4 linked regions of the Anolis sagrei genome follow. The protein of the gene in region 4 interacts with the protein of the main gene of each other region in a biochemical or structural test. Links are inferred from orthologs where the notes say so. Each region holds a gene or a part of one and is shown on either strand. Other genes may lie near its edges.

Region 1 (7,535 bases), on a different chromosome or scaffold from region 4:
CTCTCTCTCTCCTTCTCCCACCCCCGACCTGTCGAGCTGCCAGCCAGTAGCCCATTGGTCAGTGTGGCACAGGAGACTCAGGGTGGATCTATAATGCAGTTATAAACGAAAAGTCTCAGGTTTGAATCCAGGGAGCGGCGTGAGCTCCCGCTGTTAGCCCCAGCTTCTGCCGACCTAGCAGTTCGAAAACATGCCAGTGTGGGTAGATCAATAGGTACCACTTTGATGGGAAAGTAACGACACTCCATGTAGTCACGCCGGCCGCATGACCTTGGAGGTGTCTACGGACAACGCCGGCTCTTTGGCTTAGAAATGGAGATGAGCACCAACCCCCCCCCCCTCCCCGAGTCTAGACTTAATGTCAGGAGAAAACCTTTACCGAAAGCAGTTTTGATTCTGCATGATATGAGCACTGTAGTGGGGTACATCCATTCATTCTGACACACCACTTCGATGCTGTGGGATCACGGGAAGCGCGGTTTCAGAAAGTCCAAACTCAGCCTTCTCGGCTTCACCAAAAGGACAACCCCCCCCCCCCCCGGGGACGCCACAACCTCGAGCCACAGAAGTGGGGTCCAGAAGGGTCCATTCTGGGTCAGAGACACCTTTGGGTTGCCCCTCCGCTGCAGAAGGAAGGCGTTGGGAGAGCCCACGCCTCCCTCTGGCCAAACTGTACCAAATCCTGGGTTGTTGTAGGTTTTTCGGGCTATATGGCCATGTTCTAGAAGCATTCTCTCCTGACGTTTCGCCTGCATCTATGGCAGCCATCCTCAGAGGTTGTGAGGTCTGTTATGTGGTCTGTAAGACCTCACAACCTCTGAGGATGCCTGCCATAGATGCAGGCGAAACGTCAGGAGAGAATGCTTTTAGAACATGGCCATACAGTCCGAAAAACCTACAACAACCCAGTGATTCCAGCCATGAAAGGCTTCGACGATACATTGTACCAAATCCTCCAGCGGGGAAGGGTCCAAACTGCGCTCGTCCTCCAGTGTAGACGAGGGCAAACACACCGGGCCGGAAAAGGCGCTCCCTTTTCGCACTCCACGCCCCAAACTGCCCTCGCAAAAGGCACAGACCCGGCATTGTGCTGCCCAAAGGAGAGGAAGAATCGGGTGACTGTGCTGGGAATAGCCGGGCGGGAGAGAGAGAGAGAGAGAGAGAAAGTGGGTGTCGTCGTCTGCTTTGGGGCAGGCCTCACCTGGAAGAATGTGCCCTAGGTAGAGAAGGGGCCCAGGTGGTGCAATGGGTTAAACCCTTGGGCTGGCAGAACTGAAGACCCACAGGTCGCAGGTTCTAATCCGGGGAGAGCGTGGATGAGCTCCCTCTGCTAGCTCCAGCTCCTCATGCGGGGACATGAGAGAAGCCTCCCACTAGGATGGTAAAAACATCAAAAACATCCGGGCATCCCTTGGGCAACGTCCTTGCAGACGGCCAATTCTCTCGCACCAGAAGCGACTTGCAGTTTCTCAAGTCGCTCTTGACACGAAAAAAAATGAGAGCAGGACGACCGAAGTGATCAAGACCGATGTGGGGTAACTCCAGGGTGAGGACTTGCTCCACGGGGGGGGAGGGGGCTCCTCTAAGAAAAAATAAACCTCTACGAAAGGGGTTGAAACTGCCTTCAAACAGCAGGCCATTCAATGCTAAGCAAGGTGACCAAGTGCAACATTCACACGTACCTCCAAGCAGACAAGAGTTCTTTCTCCCACCCTGGGCATTCCACAGATATATAAACCTCACTTAAGTTTCCAACAGACCCCTCAACCTCTGCCATAAATGTAGGTGAAACGTCAGGAGAGAATGCTTCTGGAACATGGGCATACAGCCCTGAAAACTCACAGCAACCCAACCCCATTGGGCCCTTCCACAGAGCCCTATATCTCAGAAAATCCCACATTAGGCTCAGATAACCCAGCTCAAAGCAGATATTGTGGGATCTCCTGCCTTGATATTCTGTGTGGAAGGGCGCTTAGAAACTCCACAGTCTGGGGCGAGGGGTTATTTCTCCCCACAAGGGAAGGAAGGGGCCTCTCCAAAAACCACGCATTGTATGCTCAGTGTGGACTTGTTTCCTGCAGAGTGGGCGCCTCTCCTGCACTGACCACACAACTCATACAACGGCGTGGAAGGGACTCCATGATGTGGGTCTGCACTGCATGATTTGGGCCCGAGTCCGCCTCCTTTCCTTTCCCCTCCCCTTCCTTCTCCTCCGCCCAAGATTCCCTCTTCGTCGGCAATTTCGCACCGGACGCAGGGAACACCCTGATTTTTCCACGCCTCGTTCGCGCCCAGCCCGGGGAAATCACACTTTCCTGAAGCGGAAAGCCCGGGACGAAGGCGGTTCACCAAGCAGGGCTTGGCTGCTGCTGCTGTTGTTTGTCCCTCCCGAGGCGGGCCTCTCCTTCCTTCCTCCCTCCTTCCCTGCGTCCCCACCCGGCCTCCCTCCAGGACAGGAATCGAGTCTTTGCCGCAGCCTCCCCGCCCTGGCTTCCCCTCCCATCATCCCCAAACCCGGAGAGCCCACAAGTCAAGCGAGAGAAAAGGGGGATTGGGGAGCCTCCCCGGCTTACTTGGGCTCTGGGAGACGAAGAGGGCGACCCGCCCAGCCGCTGCCCAACTTCACGGCCCCAGAAGAGAAGCTGAGCCGCTTCACGCGCTGCTGCTGCTGCTGCTCCCGCTGCCTTTCCTCCGCCTCCAGTCCTCTAGTCTGCCACAGGCTGGGGAAAACCCCTGGATTTCCATAGAGGAGGAGGAGGAGGAGGAGGAGGAGGAGGAGGAGGAGGAAGGGGGCGGGAAGGAGGAGGACGAGGAGGAGGGGAGAGCAGAGCAGAGGAGAGGGCGCCTGGGAGGAAGCGCAGCGCTTTCGGACCGCGGCTCTCCTCCGCTCCGAGTTTGGGAGGAGAAAGGAAAGGAGAGGCTGGCTCCTCTTGGGTTTCCTTCAAACTCTGCGAAGCCGCAGCGCCGTGGGTCCCCCCGCCTGTCCCCCTCCCCGCCTCTCTCTCTCTCTCTCTCTTTTCAAACCCAGCCTTTCCCCAAGCGGAGTCCCGCCTGCTTGGAGGAAAAGCTCGTCATGGCAACGCAGCAGCCAAGCCCTGCCACAGACTCAGCCCCGTCCTTCGCAAAAGGGAGGCAGCGAGGCTGTTAAGGTGGTTTCGCGCTCAACCGACTCCTGGTTGTGCCTGGCTTCCCTTTTAAGGGGGAAAGGAGGAGATGGCGGCGCCTCGAGGGGAACCCACGTGAAAGGAAGGGAAGGGAAGGGGGGAAACGACCCTCTTGGAGGCTTAGAAGACCACAAGTTGTGGGATGCAGCAACTAAAAAAGCCAATGGGGTTTTACATCAAAAGAAGTGTAGTGTCTAAAAAAAGCCAATGGGATTTTGGCCTGCATCAATAGTCTAGTGTCAAGATCCAGGGAAGTCATGCTACCCCTCCATTCTGCCTTGGTTAGACCACACCTGGAATACTGTGTCCAGTTCTGGGCACCACCATTGAAGCAAGATATTGACAAGCTGGAATGTGTCCAGAAGAGGACGAGTAACATGATCAAGCGTCTGGAGAACAAGCTCTATGAGGAGTGGCTTAAAGAGCTGGACATGTTTACCCTGAAGAAGAGAAGGATGAGGGTAGACATGATAGCTATGTATAAATATGTGAGAAGAAGTCATAGGGAGGAGGGAACAAGCTTGCTTTCTGCTTCCCTGGAGAATAGGACGCAGAACAATGGCTTCAAACTACAAGAAAGGAGATTCCATCTGAACATGAGGAAGAATTTCCTGACTGTGAGAGTTGTTCAGCAGTGGAACTTTCTGCCCCAGAGTGTGGTGAAGGCTCCTCCTTTGGAGACTTTTAAACAGAGGCTGGATAGCCATCTGTCAGGGGTACTTTGAATGCAATTTTCCTGCTTCTTGGCAGGGGGTTGGACTGGATGGCCCATGAGGTCTCTTCCAAATCTATGATTCTATGATTCAGTGGTTCCCAAATTTGTTCTTAAGTTGAATTTGTATGTAAGTCAGAACAGGTACATTTTAAAGTGTAACTCCAGCCAAATATATATACTTTATGTATAAGTTTTGGATAGCACAGAGAAGTGTTGACACCCTTGTAGTGTTTGCTTTGCTGTCTGTGTCCCTGTTCAGAAGATGTTACCTCACTTTCTGTCCCTGTGATAATTGGATTTTGAAATTTGTCTTCTGGAAACAAGGATTTGTGAGAAAGCATCAGCATAGAACACCCCAGCAAGCGAGAGTTCAAAAGTGGCAGGCTCAAACCCAGAACCTCAACCAGTGGCTGATACCAAATGAGAGACTCCCCCTGGGCACACAGAAAACTGGGCAACTTGGAAGGCGCTGAACAGACTGCGCTCTGGCACCACGAGATGCAGAGCCAATCTTAAGAAATGGGGCTACAAAGTGGAATCCGCAACATGCGAGTGTGGAGAGGAGCAAACCACTGACCACCTGCTGCAATGCAACCTGAGCCCTGCAACATGCACAATGGAGGACCTCCTTGCGGCAACACCAGAGGCACTCCAAGTGGCCAGATACTGGTCAAAGGACATTTAATCAACTACCAAGCTTGCAAACTTTGTGTTTTGTCTGTCTGTTTGTTTGTTTTGTTAAAAATGTAATACAAATGTCTGGTTGCTGATGACACAATAAATAAATAATTATCAGCAGAGATATCCCTATGATAACTCTTTCAGAAGTGAATTTCCTTTCTGAGGGTGAGATTTCTCTCACTTCTTGTCTCACCCACATTCCTAATTATGAGTCATTTGTAAGTCAGATGTTTGTAACATGGGGACTACCTATACAGTAGAATCTCACTTATCCAACATAAACGGGCTGGCAGAATGTTGGATAAGCGAAAATGTTGGATAATAAGAAGGGATTAAGGAAAAGCCTATGAAATGTCAAATTACATTACAGTGGTCCCTTGCCCTCTTTACCTTCCTCTTCCTCCTCCTCATTTCCACCTGGGCCTCTTGCCGCCGCTTGGGCCCTGCAATTGAGGAAGTGTCGCGAGACCCAAGCAGTGGTAAGAGGCCCAGGCAGCAATGAGAAGGAAGAAGAGGAAGGTAAAGAGGGCGAGGAGGGAAGAAGAGCTGCCCCTTTGCCCTTTTTACCTTCCTCCTCCTCCTCCTCCTCCTCCCCACCTGGGCCTCTTGCTGCCGCTTGGGCCCTGCGATTGAGGAGGCAGCGGAGGTGTTGCAGGGCCCAAGCAGTGATAAGAGGCCCAGATGGTGACGAGGAGGCAGAAGAAGGTAAAGAGGGCGAGGAGGGAAGGGGAGGTGGTGTCCCTACTTCACGGAATTACACTTATTGTGAATGGTCCTGGAACATAACACCCACAATAAGCGAGGGGCCACTGTATGATTTTACAAATTAAACATCAAAACATCATGCTTTACAACAAATCGACAGAAAACGCCATTCAGTACACAGTAACATTATGTAGTAATTACCGTATTGACCAATTTAGCACCAAAACAGGCAAGGGTTCTTTCTTTCTCCCACCCTGGTCATTATTCCACAAGTAAACATACACTCCATTTTCCTCACCTGTGAATCCCTGTGGGTGGCAGACTGCGTTGGTTAATACAGAACTTTGGATACGCGAAGGTTGGATAAGCGAGACTCTACTGTAATTCTTATTCAAAAAGTAAATTCCTATTCACACGGAGGAAGCCTAAAAGGCCATTAACTTGGTCTAAACAAGCTTCCAAAGAACATGACATTCGTGAAAGAGAAAAATAAAAGAACAGAATGACAGCTGAACTTCTGAGGAAGAAAACACTACAACATTTTTAAAATGTGTATGTCACAATATATACTTATATAGTGTATATATGAGGCCCCCATTGGCGCGGTGGGTTAAAACACTGAGCTGCTGAACTTGCTGACAAAGGCTGGTGGTCCAAATCCAGGGAGTGGTGTGAGCTCCCACTATTAGCCCCAGCTTCTGCCAATCTAACAGTTCAAAAACATGCAGATGTGAGTAGATCAATAGGTACTGCTACGATGGGAAGGTAACAGCGCTCCAGGCTGGCTGCATGACCTCATAGGTGTTTACGGACAATGCCAGCTCTTCAGCTTAGAAATTGAGATAAGCACCACTACCCAGAGTGGGACACAACTAGACTTTCTGTCGGGAAAACCTTTACTATACAAGGCCCCTAGACAATGCAAAACATTCACTGTTATTAACTCATTCTCGAATAGCTCCCTTTAAAAATCAAATTGCCCCCCTGTGGGGCATGTTCCCCATGTTGGAAACCAAGCCTCTAGATCAAGGGAAGTTGTGGTGTCCCTCTATTCCGCTTTAGTCAGACCTCACCTGGAATACTGTGTCCCGTTCTGATCACCACCATTCAAGAAGGATATTGACAAGCTGAATGTGTCCCGAGGAAAACACTTAAAATGATCAAATGTCTGGAGCAATGCCCTATTAGGAGTGGTTTTAAAACTTGGCATGTTTAGCCTGCAGAAGAGAAGGTTGAGAAGAGTTAAGATAGCCATGTTTGAACATTTGAAAGGATGTCACAAGAAAGAGGGAGTGGGCTCGTTTTCTGCTGCCCTGGAAACTAACAACCTCATAATTTGGGGCTATTTTCGGTGGGATACTCCAGTTCCTCTGCAGTTTTGCGACTGAGTCTGTCAGATCCCACCACATGACTTGGAAGCACTTCTGGCGGGGCTCCGTCACAACACCGAAGAGGAAGCAGCATATGCCGCCAATGTGTCAACATGGGAGGCTCTTGTGTTGCATTGGGATCAACGGGGAAGTTGGGTGGCAAGCACTTCCCCCCCATAGGATGAGGTAGGGGGGAAGTTGGGTGATGCAGGTTGTGGGGCAACGGATACCCCCTGCTGGGCAATGTCAGATTCACCATGATCTGTGGCAATTTCGGCAGCATATATGATGAAGTCATAGGATTCCAGGTAATGGGTTGAAGTTATAGGAAAGGAGATTCCTCCTGAACATTAGGAAGAGCTTTCTGACTGTAGCAGCTTTTCAACAGTGAAACTCCACCAGTGATGGCTTCTTCTTTGGAGGATTTTAAACAGAGGCTGTGTTATCGAAACACCAGGATCCCTAACTCACCAATAGTTGCATAAGCACTACATACACACCCCACACTGCAGGGCAGGGCTCAACATTAAGAATAACCCTACTCCCTTCACAATGCCCTGGAACTCAGAAAGAGCCACAGGGTTCTTTCCAGATTTTATCTCAGTATTTTCCTGGGAACATTTCCTCATCCCGATTGCCAGATCAGATCCCCTCCCTGGGAATCCCATTCAAAGAGTGCCAACATACTCAGCACTCATTGTATGGTCAGTCAAAACCCATTGTCCTGTTCTGGCCAGACAGGAGCAGAGCCATCAAATCCCATTACCTCTGATTCACTCATATTATTTCCTCCCTACTGTCATGAAAGGCGGAATGAGAAACAGACACAAGACTTCAAACTGAGCAATGACAATTTATTAAATTTCTTTCATACCTGGGGGCAATCAACAATTACGCAGG
Region 2 (7,779 bases), on a different chromosome or scaffold from region 4:
CCTTTGTTTCATGTATATCAATAAGTGTATATATGCTTTAATTGTTGCATTTCAACTATCTTTTAATATGTGCTTTCACAAGGTGTATTTACTATGCTGTGCCCCTCCTTGAGCCAAAAGGACTGACGAATAATAAATAAAGGTAAAGGTTTCCCCTTGACATTAAACCTAGTCGTGTCCGACTCTGCGGGGTGGTGCTCATCTCCATTTCTAAGCCAAAGAGCCATCAGGGAGTGCTCATCTCATTTCTAAGCCAAAGAGCCAGCGTTGTCCATAGACACCTCCAAGGTCATGTGGCCAGCATAACTACATGGAGTACCATTACCTTCCCACAGAAGCGGTACTTATTGATCTACTGACATTTGCATCTACTGACTGCTAGATTGGCTGGAGCTGGGGCCAACAGCTGGAGCTTACCCCGCTTCCTGGATTCAAACTGCCGATCTTTCAGTGGGGCTAACAGCAGGAGCTCACCCCGCTCCCTGGATTCAAACCGCTGACCTTTTGGTCATCAAGTTCAGCAACTCAGCAGTTTAACCAGCTGTGCCACTGGGGGCTCCTGAATAATAAACATTATTATTATTGTATTGTCGAAGGCTTTCATGGCCGGGATCACTGGGTTGTTGTAGGTTTTTTCGGGCTATATGGCCATGGTCTAGAGGCAGATAGATATCTACATAAAAAGATAGATATCTACATAAAAACCCCAACCATCACCCAAGTCAAAAAAGAAGCACCATTAAAGCCTTGGAAGACCATGCAAAAAGAATCTGCGAACCCCACCTCCTCCAAGATGAACTGAACCACCTCAACTGGGCTCTCCAGGCCAATGGATACTCCACCTCAGACATCAGAAGAGCTGCAAGACCAAGAACAAGCCACGAGAGTAAAGACAAAGATCCACCCAGAGGAAAAATGTTCTTGCCATACATCAAGGGAACCACTGACCGCATAGGGAAGCTGATGAGGAAACTCAACATACAAACTATCTACAGACCCACCAAGAAAATCCAACAAATGCTACGTTCAGCAAAGGACAAGAGGGATCCTCTAGTTTCAGCAGGAGTCTACCGTATACCATGCAGCTGTGGACAAGTCTACACAGGGACCACCAAATGCAGCGCCCAAACACGAATCAACAGACAAGAATCCTTTGTCCCACCCTGGTCATTCCACAGATATATAAACCCTTTTTCCTAGTTCCAACAGACCTCACTACCTCTGAGGATGCTTGCCATAGATGCAGGCGAAATGTAAGGAGAGAATGCCTCTAGACCATGGCCATATAGCCTGAAAAAACCTACAACAACCCTATTATTATTATTATTATTATTATTATTATTATTATTATGAATAATTATGGATTTTCACTCAAATAAAATAACTTACGCCTGATGACTTTACTAAATTTAAGTTGTATAACATTTTAATTCAACGGTACAGTGTCACAGCTTTCTATACACACTTTGGGTGCATCTACACTGCGGAAGTGATGCAGTTTGAGGTTACTTTAACTGCCAAGCTCAATGCTTTGGAATCCTAAAATTGGGCACATGGGAGAAGCCCCCCACAGGATGGTAAAAGATCTGGGCGTCCCCTGGGCAACATCCTTGCAGATGGCCAATTCTCTCACACCAGAAGTAACTTGCAGTTTCTCAATTATTTATGTTTTTAAATGTTTTATGGTGTTTTTGGTCATTGAATCATTGCCATTGTAAACCACCCTTAGTCACCTGAGGGCAGAGAAGGGTGGTATACAAATATAGTAAATAATAAATAAATAAATAAGTTGCTCCTGACACACACAAAAATTCCTAAGATTGGCAGTTTGGCAGAGAAGCTAAAGACTTTGCAAAACGACAACTCCCATGACCTCATGGAAGTTGAAATGGTGTCAAAACGCATTCATTCTACAGAGAAGATGCACTTTTTGTCCCATTTACCAACTTTAAAGCCTCCCCCTGAAATAAAATATTGTATCTTCAACTTTAAAAAAAATGTTTATAGTGCCTCACTCCTGAGGTCTGGCGGAAGCCTAGAGAATCCTGACAGATTTAGGAGTCTCCACACTCCTCTTTGATCTTGGAAGAAAGCACCGAAGTTCCAATGAGAATTTATGAATCATTTCCCGTAGACCTGGCGCTAGGCAGGCCCTGCTTGGGAAGCCAAGCCCAGAAAGCCCATTTCCTCCAAGAAAGCATTGCCCTGAAGACAAAGGAACCAACAGATAAAGAGAGAAAGTGAATTACAACTTGCCCTGAGGTCAGGGACAGACTTGGCACAAGGTGCATCTAATCTACACTAGAATGGGTGCAGATCGAGACCATTTTATCTGCCAAGGCTATGGAGACATGGGAGATGTAGTTTGGAGAGGCACCAGCACCTTGTGGAACTACAACTCCCAGGGATGCCATAGCATAAAGTGGTGTCAACGTGCAGTGTAGATCAGGCATGGGCAAACTTGGGCTCTCCAGGTGTTTTGGACTTCAACTCCCATGATTCCTAACAGCCTACCGGCTGTTAGGAATCATGGGAGTTGAAGTCCAAAACACCTGGAGAGCCCAAGTTTGCCCATGGCTGGTGTAGATGCTCAACTTTTCCCTGATCCCAACTTTTTCAGCCCTGGGGCTCATCTCCATTGCTAAGCCAAAGAGCCGGCGTTGTCCGTAGACGCCTCCAAGGTCATGTGGCCGGCATGACTGCCTGGCGCGCGGTTTTATATAATCTATATCCAATATAAGCTCAGATATAGATATCCACTTCGCCTTTAGGCTCAATATTGCAACAGGGAAGGAATCCTCCCAAGTCAGGACCCTCCAGGCTCACCAGAAGAAGATCCGAGAGCATAAGCCGGCCTGGCGGAGCGGGTTTTCCTTCTGCCCGCGGGAATAGGGCGCCTCCATGAGCCCAGGAGGAAGAGGGCTCTCCCCGCCAAGGACACGCTGCGATCGGGGTGGTGTGAGCCGGGAGAAAGGAAGCGGAGCCTCGCCGGGAAGCAAGGGCTGCCACTGGCTGCAGGGAGGAGCCAGGCAAGCAGGCAGGGAGGGAGGGAGGGCGCTTCCGGGAAAGCTGACACCGGCAGGGACAGCCGTCGCCGCTAGGGGGAGCCCCGGAGACAGGCAGGTAGAGATAAAAGAAGCACGCTGCCTGCATCTCTACACTGAAGAGTGGATACACTGTGTCTCCACTATAATGCCTTCTGCTCAATGCCATTGAATCATTGGGGATGAGAAGGTTAAAGGTCTTGTCAGACTGCAACCTTCCACAGCATCATAATAATAACAGTTGTTGGAGCATGTAAAGAAATCAGTTAGTGTGTGTGTCAACTGTAAAATAAGATGTACAAGCTGATTGGGGAAACTAGCTGAGTCTGGGACTTTTGGTTACTGTTACATTTTTCAGGCATGAGCTATACAGGCGCTTGGAGAGAAGCACAAAGTGACAGATTGGAGTGTGCTTTTGCTTCATGAGCTGCTAGAAGGTGTTTCTCCACATGGGCAAAGAAAGACCATTATAAGTAAAGGTAAAATATAGTGGGTTGTTGTACGTTTTTTTTGGGCTATATGGCCATGTTCTAGAGGCATTTTCTCCTGACGTTGCGCCTGCATCTATGGCAAGCATCCTCAGAGGTAGTGAGGTCCATTGGAACTAATAAAGTGGATTTATATATCTGTGGAATGACCAGGGTGGGGCAAAGAACTCTTGTCTGTTGGAGCTAGGTGTGAATGTTTCAACTGACCACCTTGATTAGTAGTGCCTGGGGCAATCTTTTGTTGAGAGGTAATTAGATGTGCCTGATTGTTTCCCCTCTGTTGTTTTGCTGTTGTAATGTTAGAGTTTTTTTTTAAATATTGGTAGCCAGATTTTGTTCATTTTCATGGTTTCCTCCTTTCTGTTGAAATTGTCCACATGCTTGTGGATTTCAATGGCTTATCTATGTAGTCTGACATGGTGGTTGTGAGAGTGGTCCAGCATTTCTGTGTTCTCAAATAATATGCTGTGCCCCGATTGGTTCATCAGGTGCTCTGCTATGGCTGACTTCTCTGATTGAAGTAGTTTGCAGTGCCTTTCATGTTCCTTGATTTGTGTTTGGGCAATGCTGCGTTTGGTGGTCCCTATGTAGACTTGTCCACAGCTGCATGGTACAGGTAGACTCCTGCAGAGGTGAGAGGATCCCTCTTGTCCTTTGCTGAACGTAGCATTTGTTGGATTTTCTTGGTGGGTCTGAAGATAGTTTGTATGTTGTGTTTCCTTATAAAGTATAGTGCTATATCAGAGAGCCCCCAGTGGCGCAGTGGGTCAATGCAGTGGGTTTAGCTGAGCTGCTAAACCTGTTGACCAAAAGGTTGCAGGTTCAAATTCAGGGTGCGGTGTGAGCTCCCGCTTTCACTCCCAGCCTCTGCCAACCTAGCAGTTCGAAAACATGCAAATTTGAGTAGATCAATAGGTACCACTCCAGCAGGAAGGTAACGGCACTCCATGCAGTCATGCTGGCCACATGACCTTGGAGGTATCTACGGACAACGCCAGCTCTTCGGCTTAGAAATGGAGATGAGCACCACACCCCAGAGTCAGACCCGACTGGACTTAATGCCAGGGGAAAACTTTTACCTACCTTTACTATAGTGGTATAGTGCAATATAGTAATGTATAATACTAGTATTGTGTTGTGCTGATAATATAATATATTGTATACACAGTAGGCTGTTAGGAATTGTGTGAATTGAAGTCTGAAACACCTGAAGAGCCGAAGTTTGCCCATGCCTGGTTTAGCTGCATCCTTCAATTAAAAATTAAGGATGCATCAACGCTAGAATTACTGCAGTTTGACACTATTTGAACTGTCCTGTCTCAATGCTCTGGGATCCTGGAAGTTGTAGTTTGAGGAGGCATCAGCACTCATAGAGAACTTTAAAGGTCTTGCAAAACTACATCTCCCAAGGTGTCATAGCACTGAGCCAGGCAGTGCTATGACTCCATTTGGCTTAGTGGTTTAGTGGTGAAGTGACTGCTGGAGAACATATGAAATTGATGCAACCACAGTTGTCACAGTAAAGAAGAGTGTCTGCCTTTAGACAACAATTGCAGGCTGTTCAAGCAAAACTGCGTTTGATGAAAGAGTTTGCAGCTGCTTCCTTCCCCCAAAAAAGTCATCAGGAAACCAGAGGAGATGGTTGCAGAGCTTGAAAAAGTGAACCTTACGACGGAGAGCAAAACACGATGAGAGTAATGAAAACAAAACTAACAGGTTTTCATGTCCTTGGATGGGGGCCTCAGAGAAATGTCAAGTTTTTTGTACACAAACTAAGCCTCCGGCATGAGATTGCGAAGGAAGAAAGGACACAAGTAAACCACAAGGACACAGAGGGGCCAGGAATAGTTATGAATGCCAAAATGTTTGTTCTAGATGGGCCCTGGATATCTAAACAGCACTACTGGAAGATATACAAAAAATTAGACTTTTGCCCAAGACCCCAGATAGTTTTTCACCAAAGAAATATAACTTCCTGAAAAGGTTTGCTTCAATATTTCTACAGCTCGGGAATCAAAATTGTGGTAATGCAACACTCATGGGAGAACTGGAAACTTGGGACAAGAGCTACAAGTCTTTAGATATCAATACAAAGGGGAAACATGGAAGAAATGTCCAAATTGCAAATTAAGATATAACCAGACACAGCACATTTTGTGTGATATTTACCTGCATTCTTGTACCAACATGATCCATACCCCATATTTGTTATCATCATATCATAATTGTGATGTGGGGAATAAGTGGCACAACAGGTTTCCCCTTGCAAATATTTGTCAGTATGTAATAGAGCCACCCTTCCACATTCGTAGGGGATAGAGGTACGGGACCACTGGGAAAGTAAAGAAGCTCAAATTACTATTTTTTAACCTGAGCAAATCTCTCTAGGAGTTTCCAGATCTTCCAAAATTAATCTAGAACCAATATCCACTGTAAACCAACCACAGGATTGTATTGAAGGACCTTGAAATTCACAGAGATAATATTTTTAATCAAATCCATGAATAACACTATTTAACAAAACTCTGTGCCTGGTTTGAAAGTGTTATTTCCTGTTTAGTTGTGCAGTATTTACTTTGCAATTAGCTGTTATACTCCAGAATCTTCGTTTTCATGAATGCCACAAACTAAGTTGAATTGATTGAGACTCTATAATATTAATATACTTTATTTATATTCTGCCCTATCTTCTTGAGGGAACTCAGGGCAGATTACAGTACACATATACGGCAAACATTCAATGCCGTTATACAATTAACCAAGGCAGAAAGTACATAAAGAGAGGTAAAGGCTTCCCATCTTTTTCCATCTGGAAGCAGTGCTTGACTCCGGCCATGGAGTCATGCTGTTGCTCCATCTTCCATGCCGAGGAGCTTTGTTGTCCCCAGACGCTCTCCTGATTGAATTGCCGACATGTCCACATGGTGCCTTTTATTACCTCCCAGCCAAAGCGATACATATTTATCTACTAACATTGCTGTTTTCAAAATACTAGGTGAGCAGAAGCTGGACTGACAGGAGCTCACCCCAACCCAGGCTTGAACTGTCAACCTTTCGATCTGCAAGATTTTCTGCAACTGGCAATTTAACCCACTGTGCTAAAGCCCAGCCCTGTGAGATATTCATTGAAAAACAATAGCAAAATATGCTGCAGGATGTCTCACAAAACCAACGTTTTTGCAGTTTAATAAACTTTTCCCATGTTTTTAATCACAGAACCAATTAAGAAATGATATTTATAACCCAAGAACCTTTTTTTGTCGTGTCAGGAGCAACCTGAGAAACTGCAAGTCGCTTCGGGTGTGAGAGAATTGGCCGTCTGCAAGGACATTGGCCAGGGGACGCCCGGATGATTTGATGTTTTTATCATCCTTGGGGAGGCTTCTCTCATGTCCCCGCATGAGGAGCTAAGAACTAAAATCGTGTTACATAGAGTAATCTAATCCACAAAAGTCGAAAGTGCAAATGTGGACGAACGGCTACAATAAGGTTTCTCTCATATGTTAGTAAGATCTGATATTCCAATATGGCTTTAGCAGTTGATGGTAGTTTCTCTTTGGGCCTTTGTAAAAAATGAGACAGCAAGCTTTAAATTATGAAAAGACTTCTTTTGTGACAGCCTTTCTGTTATTAAATTGTATTTAATGTTTCCTTGAGGGATGGCCACTCTTCCTTGAAAGATCCTCCCAAATGTGCATGCAATGCCTTTAATGATTGCTGTTGATATATCTTTGGCAAATGAGACAAAACAATGAAAGCTGCATTCTCATTGCAACCACAATTGTTTGAAAATCTCTAAAAAGGAGCAGGCAGTCTATTAACACTTCCTGCCTGGACGACTGACTTCCCCAAATTGTTCCTCTCCAAGGACAACAACACAGGACCTATTGATAATATTGTCCATGGCAGAACTTTGGGTGCATTTACACTGTAGAATCAATGCACTTTGACACCACTTTAATTACCACAGCTCAGTGCTGTGAAATAATGGAAGTTGTAGTTTGGTAAGCCATCAGGACTCTTTGGCACAGAAGGCAAAAGACCATGTAAGGCTACAATTGCCACAGCATTGAGCCATGGCAGGTCAAGAGGGGTCAAACTGCATTAATTCTATAATGCAGAATTGTAGCAGACCCTTTTGCCCAATTGGGCCCTCAGCCAAAGCTTGGCTTGCAACCGGTGAGCGAGCACAGGCAGGAATCAAGAGGACGCACAACATAATTCATCCAAGAAAAGCAGTTTACTGA
Region 3 (7,007 bases), on a different chromosome or scaffold from region 4:
TTTGGGAGAACCAAGATTTGAAGATTTGAACCAAGATTTGTCCTGAGCAGCCTTCTCTGCCAAAGAAGTACAGTACAGGTGCCTCACCAGACTACAACTCCTGGGATTCAATTACAGAGTCAGTCAAAATGGGGTTAGATGAGCCATGCCAGCTCAAAAGGCGGGGGGGGGGGGGGGGGCGGGGCGGCGCGGGGAGGGTGTCTGACTGTGTAAATTCTATAGTGTAGTTTAGTTGGCCTGCACAACCTGCAGCCCTGCAGGTGTTTTGAAATTCCTGATCATTGGACAAGACGGACAGGGGTTCTGGAAGTTGGAGTCCCAAGCACCTGGAGAGTTGTGCATGCCTAGGTAGATACTCCCAGAAAGCTATAAATCCCAGGATTCCATAGTGTGGAGCCATGGTAGCTCAAGAGATGTCAAGTTGCCCAGGGAAACCAGAATGGCCCCCTTCCTGCTATCCTTTCGGCGGCATGCTAAAACCGTTTTATTCAGGCAGGCTTTTGAAAGAGGTTTTTAAGACCAAGTCCGGGGCTGCAGTGGTTTTAGCTCTGAATACGTTTTAAATCAGTTTTTAAGGATTTTAACTGTTTGCTTTTAATGCCATCAATATTCCATGTTTAGGTTTCCAATGGTATTGCACTGGTTGTATTGTAAGCCGCTTTGGGTCTCTTTTGTAGAGAGAGAAAGCGAGGTACAAATCAACATCATAAACATAATAATATGCTGCGTTAATTCTGAAGCGTAGAGGAAGAAGCGTGTGGAAAAGAGAAATCCAAGCAAGGACGTCAGAAGCCCTAGCAGACGCCACGCCCAGCAATTGCACCAATCAGGCGTGGTCTCTAGGCGGGTCAGCCAATCGGCGTGCCTGAGTACCGCAAGCCGGCTGAAGGGCGGGGGCGTGGTCTCCGGAGCCAAAGGCGAACCAATGAGTAGCTTTGGGAAGGGGGGGGGGGGGAGAGAGGCCAGACGGGTGCTTACTGTGGACTGTATGCAGTTTGACCCCACTTTAGCCGCCCTCCTGTTATGCTTTGGGGCCCCTGGAAGCTGTAGTTTGCATTCTGGCAAAGGAGGCTCAGGAACTTGTCAAATTCCAACTCCCAGGATGCCCTAGCACAGCAGTCCAAGAGGGGTCAAACTGCATTTATTCTACAGTGGAGATGCACCCTTGGGCAAAGACTTTGGAGATCGGAGTTCAAATCCCAGTTCAGGCTGCTAGGTGATTTGGGACAGGTCATACTCTCAGGTCCCTTCTACTCTGACATAATCCAGATTCTCAAAGCAGATAATCCACGTTATCTGCTTTGAAATGGATTGTATGTGTCTACACTGTCATATAATCCAGTTTGAACTGTATTGTAATGGTCACTGTAGACTCATATAATGCAGATTTTAATACATTGAACTGGAGTATATGAGTCTACATTGCCATATAATGCAGTCAATCTGCATTCTGAAACTGGATTATATGGCAGTGTTCGTGGGGCCCAGTGTCGTCTGCTAACATTGACACCACAGTGCTAGCTGTTTCCCATCTTTACCTGGGAGTAATTCTCAGTGGATACTGTGAGTCAGACCCAGATTATTCAAGCCTGGAATAGAGCCATTGCAATAACCAGACATTTGGCATTTGTAAATCCCTGCTCACTCTACTTTTAACTGCCATGGCTGTGTTCTGGGAAGTGTAGTTTATTGTGCATTTACATGGCAGAATTAATGCAATATTAACTCTATTTTGACTGCCATGGCTCAATGTGATGGAATCCTGAGAGTTGTAGTTTGGTAAGGCACCAGCGCACTCAGGAAGGGAAGGCTAAAGACCTTATGAATCTATGAGGGTTATCCAGAAAGTAAGGTTACAATATTTTTTTAATATAATGAATGAATATATTTTAATAAAACATACATGGATTATAGCATGTATAGCATTTTTCCACATAATCACCATTCAGTTCAATACATTTTGGCATCCGTGGAATGGGTTTGTGATGCCTGTGTCATAGAAGTTTTCCTCCACCTTTTTCAGCCAGTTCGTAACTTCAGTGTTCACCTCGTCGTCATCGGAAAAGTGTTTCCCACCAAGGTGTTCCTTCAATTTAGTTAACAAGTGATAGTCACTGGGTGCGAGATTGGGACTGTGAGAGGGGTGGCTTAAAACATCCCAACCAAATGAAGTCAACAACTCGTGTTGCATGAGCGGTGTGCGGACACGCATTGTCATGAAGAAGACAGACTCCTGTTATCAGCATCCCATGATGTTTTTTTTTGTTTTTTTTGGATGGCTCTGCAAAGTTTCTTCATGGTCTCACAATATATTCCGTACCCATTTTGTGACCTGTTGTCTTGACATTACATTCTCTCCATAAAGTAAAACAATTTTGTGTTGAATAGTAGCTGCATTCATGCCCTTAGCATTTAGGTAGCATATTACAGCGTGAACTTTTCACTTGGGGGGAAACAGAATGAGGATGCTCATCTCTAACCTTCACAATGCCATTTGATGAGCTACTGATGACAAACACTGCTCGTTCACTTCCACTGGCTTCCTGTTATAGGGCTGTGATACCAACTTCTCCTGAGAAAATTCCTCGCGAGAGTGTGCCTTGTAACCTTACTTTCCAGATAGCCCTTGTATAATTCCCATAATTCCATAGCATTGAGTCACAGCAGTTAAAGTGGTGTCAATACTACAGTGTAGTATTAAAGTGGTGCATTAATACTACAGTGTAGTTGTGCCCTTTCTTTCTTTCGGTAGTCTGTCCAGTTTCTACAGAGGGTGGGCAACATAGAAATGACCCACTCCTGCACCACTGGATCTTTTCTAGTAGAAAATACAAGATTTTCCTCCCCTTTCTGGCATTTTTTCACAGTTGGATTCTGCACTGACCTACACAGAAGCAGCCTCTTTGCTGAGTTCAAAGAGACTTACTGGGCATACCTGTCTCTCAACACAATGGTTAGTCCTAACTAGAATATATTCATACGATCAATCACATTTATGGAAATCTCGATTTTCCATGGACTCATTATTATAGTTGCTCTGCTCTAGTTGAGTGTAGTAATTAGCAGTTTAGGGTAGAATAATTCTGCAAAGGGTTTGTGTGTCCTGAAAGGAAAGTCTTGGCGAGATCAGTCAAAGCGTGTTCCCAGAGCAGAGCTCAGAGGCTTGTAGCCTTTGGTGAGCCCTTTGATTTGTTTCTAATAACTTTAGATTGGAAAAATGCAGTTGGAACAAGATGTTCCACAACAGTGGACAGATGGTAAGATCACCTCTGCCCTTGTTTCCTTTTGTATCTGATGGCAGAATGTAGATGCTTCAGAGTTTTCTATGGGAAAGGGGACAATGCAATATTTCATGAGTCCTTCTCCTAGGCCCCTTCTACACTGCCATATAATCCAGGCGATCAAAGCAGACAATCCACATTGAACTGGATTATATGAGTCTACACTGCCAGATAATCCAGTTCAAAGCAGATACTCTGGATTTTATATGGCAGTGTAGAAGGGGCCCTAGAGACCACTACTTAGGCTCCAATCCACACACTTGCTCCAAGTTGTTGGAGATCCCAAACACTTTTAAAGTGTGTATCTGTATTGGCTCTTAAATCACATATGCTTGCGAGAACCCCCCCCCCCCTTAATATTTCAAGGGTCTGTTGACTTCATGAAGTGTGCACAATATGTCATCCTTGGAAGGAATGTGCAATATGTGGTTTGTATAGCTTCTACAGGGTCTGGGCAAATTTGCAGCATATATACCCAGGGGACTTTGTGACCCACACAGTCAATTCATTTTGTGGTTGCTGGGGGGGATTATTATTATTCCGAAGGAAAGTAGTCAGTTACATATTTTTCCCTTAAGTAGGAACTTTCTGGGGTTGGGCATCCGTAATATTCTCCAAATGGGCAAAAAAGTCATTGGGTCTGAGAATCAGGAGGTGGGAAATCCATCATGACACCCATGCGCCTTCACAGACTCAGAGAGAGAGAGAGAGAGAGAGAGAGAGAGCAATTGAGCATGTGTGCTTCTTTCTCTCCCCCTCTGGATGCAGGAGGAATCCTGGGACGCGATTGCTGCCTTTCTGGCTTGTCTCCTATCCCCCTCCCTTTTGGCATCACAAGGAGAGGAGAGAGGAAGGGGGGGGGGGGAGAGGTTGACCCTCTGTTTCCCTGATCAATTGCTGAGTATTTGATTTGAAGGAGTCTCCTCCCCTTTCGACACCCGCCTCCTTTGCGATCGTGTGAAAGCCAGCCAGGCAGCAGGGAAGATAATCTATTCAGCTGAAGGCAGAGAAGAAGACAAGGAGGAGAGATGGTGAGCGGATTTGATTTGGGTCATGGGGTGGGGGGGCAGTGGGGGGAGAGGAATGAATGGGCCTGTGGGCTGTGTGCTTGGCTTGCTGCGAGGCGGACATTCCTCCTCCCCACCCTGCACAAGCTGGACCAGGCTGCTTTGTGTTTTTGGCTCAGAGAACTGCAGCTTCGGCTTCCCTCTCTGTTTTATTTTTCATGGCAGTGGGCTTGGAATCATCCCTGGCGGAGGATCATCATGTGCGGTTCTGGGCTCGTTGTTTCAAATGCGGCTGGATCACTAGGAGAAAGGCGTTTCTTTCTTTAAAAAAAAAAAAGATCCGCATATGCCAAGGGCTCAACAACCAGGCATTGTGCCCTGTGGGAAACCCTGCAATGCTCTGGGTTCCTGTCCTGGTTTGTCATGGAGGGAAGCTGGAGCCTTTCTCTCCCTCCCTCTCTCTCTTTGGGTTGCATTGTGCATGCCCAAGACCCAGCCATTCATTAAAGCCCCATTTCCTTGGTGGATGGTGGTTCTTCTCTCCCCTCAGCCTTCAGCTTTCTTATCCTCGGAAAGTGGCTTTTCTTCAACTTCTCTGATGCTTGCAGGGTTGAGGACAGTTGTAAAGAACTTGCGGGAACTCTTTGGGGGAGGGGGGGGGGGAGCAAGCTGCAACCCATCACCACAGTGTGGCTGAGTTTGCTGGAACCAAGGGAAACTCCTACTTACCTGCTTGTAAGATAGGCACAAGGAATGAGCTGGCAAGGGCTTCCTAAGGTTGCACCTCTCCTGCCTGCTTTCCTGAGAAAGACCCCCCACTGAGTGTAGTAGGGTTTACTTCTGAATAGGAGTATGTAAGGCAGGCAATATTGCAGTGGGTCTCACCCCATGCTGCAGAACCTTTCCTTGCTTTTTATTCTCCCTGGGGCTCATTGTGCTTTCTCCAGGGACCACTTGGATATTTCAGAACAGGAAATACTTGCAGATGAATGTGTATTTTCTTTTGCAGAGTGAGGACAAGGTTTATTTTGGTCCTGCTATTAAAAAGAGAGTCCTTCTCCTGGTGACAGCATATTGACGCGTGCTGATGGTATCAGCCCTGGGGTGGCATGCTGCAGTCTTGTTTAAGTGGGGCTTGGCAGTTTAAGCTCCTAGAGAGATTGGATGTGATCTAAGTTACAAAATTGTAGAAGAAGCCTGACTGTGTAGGAACTGGGCACTGATTTTTATACCACACTTCAGGAGTACGCAAATTGGGGGAGAGGATAGCTTTGGCATTAAGCTGCTTTCTCAGCATGCAATGTCTTTTGGAAACAGCACCCAAGGTTTAGCATGTTTTTGGCAAACTGGAAATGCTGGCTAATGCTGGAGAGCACTGTGAAAGAACAGCTGTTAGTCTCCATCTCTTTCATCAGATGTCCTTGTAATGTAGGAAATGGTTATATGATGTGCCCCGTTAAGCAAATGGTGCTGTAAGTTTTTCCTTGAAGAAACCAACTTGGTAACTCTTAAGAACACAGGCAAGTTAATTGTACTTCCAAGTCTTACTGCTGTAGAATTTCTGATCCGAGTCTTACTTATATGGTAGTTTTCAAGTGGTAGGTGCCACTTGCTTCTGCAGTCCAAAAAGTGAGGTTGAATCCATAAAAGTGCATGCTAAAATAAAAAAAAAAACCACTGGTACAATTCTTTTTTCCCTCCCCTCCCTTCCTCCATTTTATTTTTAACATATATGCTGTATTTTTTTCCAACCTTAATTCTGATCTAGCCATTGCTGCCACCATAAGTTACTGTAGCCCATCTTGACCCAGGTTGAAAGTTATGTATGCATCTTGGTTTTCACCTGGTTATTTAAAATTGCCTGCCAAAGGTTTTAAAAATGCAGTTTGTATGGAAGGAGTGGCACAAAGTTAGCAAAATGCAGCGCTGGTAACTCCCATTCTTTCTCCCACCTCTTTCTCTGCCGTGTCTTTCTGGCAGCACCAAATTCTTCTGTCACAACTGTAGTTAACAAATCACTCGCAATCTTACCTTGGAGATTGTCTATTTGTAAACTCATCATAGTTGTAGAAATCTAAATCGGTGCATCTTGTTTTTCTTTAGTGCAATTTGCTAAATCTCCATAAATGTCTCTCTGGAGGGTAGGTCTGCCTAGGCTCTGAAAACAAAAAATCTATCAGAAAACTTGTTAGAGCTGTTGTAACATCAGATCTATAATTTGTTGCTTTTAATATTTGATTGTATCAATATAAACCACTCACATAAACTATTAAGGAATTCCTTCTAGTTGCTAAAAGGAGGGGGGAAATGCTTACATGTTTCTTCTCCTCACATAATAAGATCACACTTGGGTTGTAAGAAACATTTATTTCTACTGGAAGCAATGATTGTTTCTGTCCCCTGATTTTCTTTTTACCTGAAGCTCAAGGATTCTCTGTGCCAGAAATGCAAAGGCTCAGGAATGGAGATTGGAAGGCAAAATGGTCCCTTGGATAGTAGCCCATCTGTCCCTTGGAAAGACTCTCCAAAGAGCCTGAGATGAACCTCTTTTGTTCTTCACAAGCATCACCTTATGCATCACACTCCCATTTTTACCTCCCCACTGCTTGACATGGTCCAAAGCAATTAGTATCTTTAAAAATGTTCAAAGTAATCAGATCTTCATTATATGATATTCTTGAGAACAGGAACTGAAAGTAGGATGTGATTTTGCACTTCT
Region 4 (7,735 bases):
ATCGGGCAGTTTCAATTCAATACCTTCTTGCTGTGGAACAAAGAAACTTCTGTTTGAGAGGCTTTGCCTCCCAACAAAAATTCTCCCAGATTTTCTCTCTGCAAGAAAATGCATGTAAGGATCACAGACACACATCCCGAAACTGGAAGTCAAATTCCTAATTCATAAAAGCATAAAATTGGGGGGAGGGGATCAAGAACATAGGCCATGAACTCAAAACGAAATACATATAACTTCCCTTCCTCCAATAGAAAAAAAATACTACAGGGTGGGCCGAAAGTCACAAAGGGGCTTCAATATTTAAGAACTCCTTTATTTTAGAATAAACATTATATACAATACATAAATAAATAAATAAAACTACATTATCTGCAAAATCTTGTTTTTTCATTGCTTTAAAAAGTCATCAAAAACATCAGACATCTTTGTGACTTTTGGCCCACACTGTGTATTAGCGATCTCCAAAAGAAGAAAAAATACCATTAGCCTATTTTTGGGGAATTATTTCCCCCACCCACCTCAGACTTCAGGCATCCAGATTTCCTCCATCTGCGCCGAGTTCTTCCAGCAACGTTTTAAATCCCAAGAGTGGATTTTTTTCCTCCCCAACAAAAAAACGAAAGCAAAGGGGAGAAGCAACAACTCTCAGTTGGGAGTGCCAGGGGGAAAAAGAGAGGCCAAATAAGCTCTTCTTGTTGTTGTTTGGGGGGGGGAGTTTTTGTTTCCTTTCCAAAACCCTTTTCTCCCCTTCACTTTTTCCTCTTAAGTTGAAAAGAAAAGGCCTCTAGAGTCTCTTCTACTCTTCTTTCTCTGTGTATTTTACTCCCTTTTCCTTGGTTTTTTTTATTCTTTTTGTTGCTTCCTTTCCACACAACACTTTCCTCCTCTTCACTTTTTTTCCCACTCAGTGGAGAAAAGATCTTGTCTAATCTCTGTTTCTCTCCCTTCTTCTCCTTTCCGTCTCTTCTTCTTCTTGGGAGGACTTTCCCTGGTGCTTCCTTTGCACAAAACTCCTTTCTCCCCTTTTGGTCGAGAAGGGGACAAAAAAAATCTCTTCTTTTCTTCTGCCTGATTATATCCTTTATTCTCTTCCTCGTTTAAGTCTCTTCTTCTTGGGGGGACTTTCCTTGGTGCTTCCTTTCCACAAAACCCCTTCCTCCTCTTCACTTTTCCCCTCTCAGTCGAGAAGGGAACCAAAGAAGTCTTTCCTTCTCTCTGATTAGATCCGTTCTTCTCCTCCTTTCCGTGTTTCAGCCTCTTCTTCTTCTTGCTTTTGTCCTGGTTTGTTATCCTTTTCCAAAACTCACTCCAGTTGTGAAGAAGGAGAGAAAAGCTCTCGTCGAGTCTCTCCCTCTCTCTTCACCTCCTTCTTCCTCTGTTTCAGTCTCTTCTTGCAGTGTTTTTTTTTCCTTGACGTTGTTGTATCCTTTCAACAACTCACTCCAGTTGTGTAGATGGGGAAAAAGCTCTCGCCCGGTCTCAATTTTTTGTGTGTTTCAGTCCCCTTTTTCTCCTTCTCTTCTTCTTGCGTTTGCCGTTGTTTGTTGTACCCTTCCCACAACTCACTCCTGTTGTGAAGAAGGGGAGAAAAGCTCTCGTCGGGTCTCAGTCTTCGCGTGTTTCAGTCTCCTTTTTTTGCAACCTCCTTCTTCCCGTTTCAGTCTCTTCTTGCGGTGTTTTATTTCCTTGTTTGTTGTATCCTTTCCACAACTCACTCCAGTTGTGTAGAGGGGAGAAAAGCTCTAATTGAGTCTCAATATCTGCTTGTTTCAATCTCCTTTTTCTCCTCCTCGTTCTTCCCCTGTTTCAGTCTCTTCTTGCGGTGTTTTTCCCCCTTGTTGTTTGTTGTATCCTTTCCACAACTCACTCCAGTTGTGTAGAGAGGAGAAAAGCTCTGTGTGTGTTTCAGTCTCCTTTTTCTCCTCCTCCTTCTTCCCCTGTTTCTGTCTCTTCTTGCGGTGTTTTTCCCCCTTGTCGTTTGTTGTATCTTGCGGTGTTTTATTTCCTTGTTTGCTGTATCCTTTCCACAACTCACTCCAGTTGTGTAGAGAGGAGAAAAGCTCTCGTTGAGTCCCAATTTCTGTGTGTTTCAGTCTCCTTTTTCTCCTCCTCCTTCTTCCCCTGTTTCAGTCTCTTCCTGCGGTGTATTTTTTTCCTCTTGTCGTTTGTTGTATCCTTTCCACAACTCACTTGTACAGAGGAGAGAAAAGCTCAATCTCTGCGTGTTTCAGTCCCTTTTTCTCCTCCTTCTTTCCGTGTTTCAGTCTCTTCTTTCTTGCGGCGTTTTTCCCCCCTTGTTGTATCCTTTCCTGTTGCGAAGAAGGGGGAGGAAAGGTCTCCTCGCGATAATACTCTTGCGGGTTTTTCCCCCCACCTTGTTGTATCCTTTCCAATTGCGAAGAAGAAGGGGGGGGGGAGGAGAGGTCTCGTCGAGTCTCCTCCTTTCTCTCTCTCTTTCCGCCCTGACAAAATATGCGGTTTCAGGTGCCTCAAACGCCGCCCAGTCCCGGCTGAGGAGTCATTTCCTGCCCCTCATGAAACCCAACTGAGGCCTGCTTTCCCCGGCCTCTTGGAGGCCCAAACCCTCCTTCCTTCCTTCCCTCACGAGGCCTTGGATGCTGTCGTCGCCTCCTTCACTGCTACTAGGAAGGGAAAGCGAGATGGAGGCGCAACAAGCCCCTTCCTTCCCTCCTTCCTTCCTTCTCTCCTCCTCCTCCTTTTCCTTTCTTCCCCTGCTTCCTCTGCCTCACACTCGACTCCTCCTCCTCACACTTCCCCCTTCCTTCCTTCTTTCCCCATTATTCCCGCCCTCAGCAGCTCTCTCTCTCTCTCTCTCTCTGTATGAGGTGTTTCTCTCCTCAAAGGGCGGAGGAAGGGAGGGAGGAAGCAGCAACAGCTCAAGAGGGCGGCGGGCGTTACTATTACTACTACTACGCGGCTTTTGCGCCTCCGCCCAGGCCAGAGAGAGAGAGACTGAGAGAGGCCTTCCCTCCCTCCTCCTCCCTTTTCAGACTTTTCTTTCCCCCTCAGAGCCAGACAACAAGTCTGGCAATGGGCGACGCGCCTCAGCCAATCCGGAGAGAGGAGACTCCCGTCGCAGCCAATCAGGTGGCGCTCTCAAGGTTTGGCCGGGAAGGAAGGGAGGAAAAAGATCAGGTTAGGGTGTGAGGAATAAGAAAAAAAAATCTCTCTCTCTATATATAAAGATAGGTAGGAGGGAAGGAGAGGAAAGGGTTTTTTTTTTTTGTCACTTAGGTTTGGAGGGGAAATAATAATTTATTTATTTATTTGCTTTACTTTACTTGTATACTGCAGTTTCTCAGCCCAGCAGGCGACTCAAGGCGGTTTACAACAAGGAAAACATCAATCAACAATATACAATTTAAAACCATAAAAGCATAATATACAATATTGACACAACAACAGGTAGCACAATGCATCTCATAACATAACAGAGTCGCGATCCAATCCGTCATCTAACTAAAATGATAAAAGGTCTGGAGAACAAGCCCTATGAGGAGCGGCTTAAGGAGCTGGGCATGTTTAGCCTGAAGAAGAGAAGGCTGAGAGGGGATATGATAGCCATGTATAAATATGTGAGAGGAAGCCACAGGGAGGAGGGAGCAAGCTTGTTTTCTGCTTCCTTGGAGACTAGGACGCGGAACAATGGCTTCAAACTACAAGAGAGGAGATTCCATCTGAACATGAGGAAGAACTTCCTGACTGTGAGAGCCGTTCAGCAGTGGAACTCTCTGCCCCGGAGTGTGGTGGAGGCTCCTTCTTTGGAAGCTTTTAAACAGAGGCTGGATGGCCATCTGTCAGGGGTGATTTGAATGCAATATTCCTGCTTCTTGGCAGGGGGTTGGACTGGATGGCCCATGAGGTCTCTTCCAACTCTTTGATTCTATGATTCTATGATCCAAATTTCCATTCCTGTAATAAATTATTTCCTCTCCAAATAAATAATTTATTATTATTTCCTCTCCAAACCTAAGTGACAAAAAAAAACTTATTATTTCCTCTCCAGTACGCATGCCTAGTGTGGAACACATCTCACCACACTAAAACAGTAGATGTGGCTCTTAATGAGACATGCCGCATTATCACAGGGTGTCTGCGCCCCACACCACTGGAGAAATTACACTGCTTAGCTGGTATTGCACCACCTTACATCCGCCGGGAAGTAGCAGCCAATAGTGAAAGGACCAAGGCAGAGACATCTCCAGCTCATCCCCTGTTTGGGTTTCAGTCAGCACGTCAACGACTCAAATCAAGAAATAGTTTTCTTAGATCTACAGAGACACTCGCTGAAACACCTCAGCAAGCAAGAGTCCAAAAGTGGCAGGCCCAAACCCAGCACCTCAATCTGTGGGTGATGCCAGATGAGAGACTCCCCCCTGGGCACACAGAAGACTGGGCGACTTGGAAGGCGCTGAGCAGTCAGCGCTCTGGCACCACGAGATGCAGAGCCAACCTTCAGAAATGGGGCTACAAAGTGGAATCCACGGCATGCGAGTGTGGAGAAGAACAAACCACTGACCATCTGCTGCAATGCACCCTGAGCCCTGCCACATGCACAATGGAGGACCTTCTTGCGGCAACACCAGAGGCGCTCCAAGTGGCCAGATACTGGTCAAAGGACATTTAATCAACTACCAAGTTTGCAAAATCTGTGTTTTTTTAAATCTATTTGTTTGTTTTGTTCTGTTAGAAATGTAATACAATGGTATGGTTGCTGATGACACGATAAATACATTTTCTCTCCAAAGAAATGCTGGACCACTCTTACAACCACCATGTCAGACTACACAGGGAAGCCACTGAAATCCACAAGCATGTGGACAATTTCAACAGAAAGGAAGAAACCATGAAAATGAACAAAATCTGGCTACCAGTATTAAAAAACTCAAAAATTACAGCAGCAAAACAACAGAGAGTAAACAATCAGGCACATCTAATCACCTCTCAACAAAAGACTGCCCCAGGCACTGCCAGGCTATCAAATGCTAATCAAGGTGGTCAGTTGAAACATTCACACCTAGCTCCAGCAGACAAGAGTTCTTTGTCCCACCCTGGTCATTCCACAAATATATAAACCCATTTTCCTACTTCCAACAGACCTCACTACCTCTGAGGATGCTTGTCATAGATGCAGGCGAAACGTCAGGAAAAAATGCCTCTAGAACATGGCCATATAGCCCGGAAAAACCAACAACCTAATAATAAAGAGTTTGAATAGAGGACAAGTCAGGAGACCACTTTCAATCCTTGGGGAGGGGATAAGAAAGGGAAGAGGGTTTTAGTATTTGCATAAAGGAGAGTGAAACAGAAAGGTGTATACATAGGAGATATATAGATATAGGACTCAGTCACACACAGAATAGAGGGGTAGCATTACTTCCCTAACACAGTGTCTAGATATAGGGAAGTCATGCTACCCCTCTATTCTGCTTTGGTTAGACCACACCTGGAATATTGTGTCCAATTCTGGGCACCACAATTCAACAGAGATATTGACAAGCTGGAATGTGTCCAGAGGAGGGCGACTAAAATGATCAAGGGGCTGGAGAACAAGCCCTATGAGGAGCGGCTTAAGGAGCTGGGCATGTTTAGCCTGAAGAAGAGAGGAGATATTTATTTATTTATCATGTCATCAGCAACCATACCATTGTATTACAATTCAAACAGAGCAAAACAAACACACAGATTAAAAAGGGAAAAAAAGAGGAGATATGATAGCCATGTATAAATATGTGAGAGGAAGCCACAGGGAGGAGGGAGCAAGCTTGTTTTCTTCTTCCCTGGAGACTAGGATGCGAAACAATGGCTTCAAACTACAAGAGAGGAGATTCCATCTGAACATGAGGAAGAACTTCCTGACTGTGAGAGCCGTTCAGCAGTGGAACTCTCTGCCCCGGAGTGTGGTGGAGGCTCCTTCTTTGGAAGCTTTTAAACAGAGGCTGGATGGCCATCTGTCAGGGGTGATTTGAATGCAATATTATTATTATTATTATTATTATTATTATTAACTTTATTTGTACCCCGCGAGCATCTCCCGAAGGACTCGATGCGGCTTACACAGGCCGAAGCCACAACACACAATACAATAGAGAACGTAACAAGTAATAACGAAGCAAATCAAAAATCAAAAAGCAAATCAAAATCAGAAATTAGCGAGACAGCAATAACAATACATCAAGACATATTAAAACTGGTTCGGCCGGCGAGAGGGGTACAAGGTTAAAAGTGCTGAAATGGCAGGAGGGGCGTAGGAATTAAAGTATGGTGTGCAGCAATGTTAATTGTGCTAAAGTGCTACTAGGACTTGGGATAGGGATTCCTAATCTGGGAAGGCACAATGGAACAGCAAGTTTCCAAATATTCCTGCTTCTTGGCAGGGGGTTGGACTGGATGGCCCATGAGGTCTCTTCCAACTCTTTGATTCTATGATACTACAGCAACTTAAGCCCTTGGGAGTGTTTTGGACTCCCAACTCCCAGGGTAGGCTGTTAGGAATTGTGGAAGTTGGACTTCAAAACACCTGGAGGGCCAAAGTTTACTCATGCCTGCACTACAGAGTTATATTTTCCTTGGGAGCAAGGTTACAACAACATCTATTATAGAACTTCAGTATGCTGATGACAATGTCGTCTGTGCGCATTCAGAAGAAGACCTAAAAGCCACCCTAAACATCTCTGCAGAAGCATATGAGAAGCTCGGCCTGTCATTAAACATCGAGGAAACCAAAGTGCTCTTCCAGCAGTCACCAGCCAATCCCTCTCAAAGCCAACCTTAAAAACTCTGGCATAGACATTGAGAACTGGGAAGCCTTGGCCCTTGAGCGCTCCAGTTGGAGGTCAGCTGTGACCAGCAGTGCTGTAGAATTTGAAGAGGCTCGAATGGAGGGCGAAAGAGAGAAACATGTCAAGAGGAAGGCCTGTCAAGCCAACCCCGACCGGGACCGCCTTCCACCTGGAAACTGATGTCCTCACTATGGGAGAAGATGCAGGTCAAGAATAGGGCTCCACAGTCACTATGGACCCACCACCAGAACACCAACCTTGGAGGACCATCATCCTCGGACTACGAGGGATTGCCTAAGTAAGTAAGTAAACAGAGTTATAGTCACCCTCCAGAATCATGGCACACTCCCTCGTTGCCAGGGAAAATAGGCAAAATGGCAAATACCAGCCAGACTTTGAAGCTACAAGGCCATTCAATGCTAATCAAAGGTGGCCAATTGCAAGTCACACTTGCCCGAAGCAGACAGAGTCCTTTCTTCCACCCTGGACATTCCACAGATATATAAACTTAATTTGCCTAGTTTCCCACAGACCTCACAACATCTGAGGATGCCTGCCATAGATGTGGGCAAAACGTCAGGAGAGAATGCTTCTGGAACATGGCCATACAGCAGCCCAGTGATTCTGGCCATGAAAGCCTTCAACAACAAAATGGCAAAAATTACTAATGCGGAAGAATTTGCATGTTAGGAAAAGTTGCAGCAGTTTGCTTTTGCTTCAGCCTCCTGGGAAGAGCAAAAGTGGGCCTCCTTGCTGCAGCTGGACAAAATATGCCCCTACTCTTTAGAATTAATGCAGTTAGGCAACACTTTCACTCCCATGGCTCAAGAGCCACAGAATCATGAGATTTATAGTTTCGCAAGGTCTTTAGCCTTTCCTGGCAAAGACGACTGGTGTCTCACTAAACTTACAACCCCACAGATTTTATAGAA

Evidence for each region.
Region 1: the proteins of ERBIN (region 4) and ATP2B4 interact in a test that uses a peptide from one of them, tested with the Homo sapiens proteins (2 studies listed by BioGRID and IntAct). The link is inferred for Anolis sagrei from reciprocal best matches to the Homo sapiens genes ERBIN and ATP2B4.
Region 2: the proteins of ERBIN (region 4) and ABCC4 interact in a test that uses a peptide from one of them, tested with the Homo sapiens proteins (2 studies listed by BioGRID and IntAct). The link is inferred for Anolis sagrei from reciprocal best matches to the Homo sapiens genes ERBIN and ABCC4.
Region 3: the proteins of ERBIN (region 4) and ARVCF interact in a test that uses a peptide from one of them, tested with the Homo sapiens proteins (3 studies listed by BioGRID and IntAct, with this or other methods). The link is inferred for Anolis sagrei from reciprocal best matches to the Homo sapiens genes ERBIN and ARVCF.

The regions. Positions count from the first base shown.
Region 1 is NC_090024.1:191,987,631-191,995,165, reverse strand, and holds the start of ATP2B4 (plasma membrane calcium-transporting ATPase 4), read right to left. Parts: upstream 3,003-7,535; 5' UTR 2,574-3,002; intron 1-2,573. UniProt on the Homo sapiens protein: Calcium/calmodulin-regulated and magnesium-dependent enzyme that catalyzes the hydrolysis of ATP coupled with the transport of calcium out of the cell. By regulating sperm cell calcium homeostasis, may play a role in sperm motility.
Region 2 is NC_090023.1:126,651,502-126,659,280, forward strand, and holds the start of ABCC4 (ATP-binding cassette sub-family C member 4), read right to left. Parts: upstream 3,014-7,779; 5' UTR 2,904-3,013; coding exon 2,827-2,903; intron 1-2,826. UniProt on the Homo sapiens protein: ATP-dependent transporter of the ATP-binding cassette (ABC) family that actively extrudes physiological compounds and xenobiotics from cells.
Region 3 is NC_090034.1:35,513,455-35,520,461, reverse strand, and holds the start of ARVCF (splicing regulator ARVCF), read left to right. Parts: upstream 1-4,004; 5' UTR 4,005-4,312; intron 4,313-7,007. UniProt on the Homo sapiens protein: Contributes to the regulation of alternative splicing of pre-mRNAs.
Region 4 is NC_090022.1:267,864,958-267,872,692, forward strand, and holds the start of ERBIN (erbin), read right to left. Parts: upstream 3,012-7,735; 5' UTR 519-3,011; intron 1-518. UniProt on the Homo sapiens protein: Acts as an adapter for the receptor ERBB2, in epithelia. By binding the unphosphorylated 'Tyr-1248' of receptor ERBB2, it may contribute to stabilize this unphosphorylated state.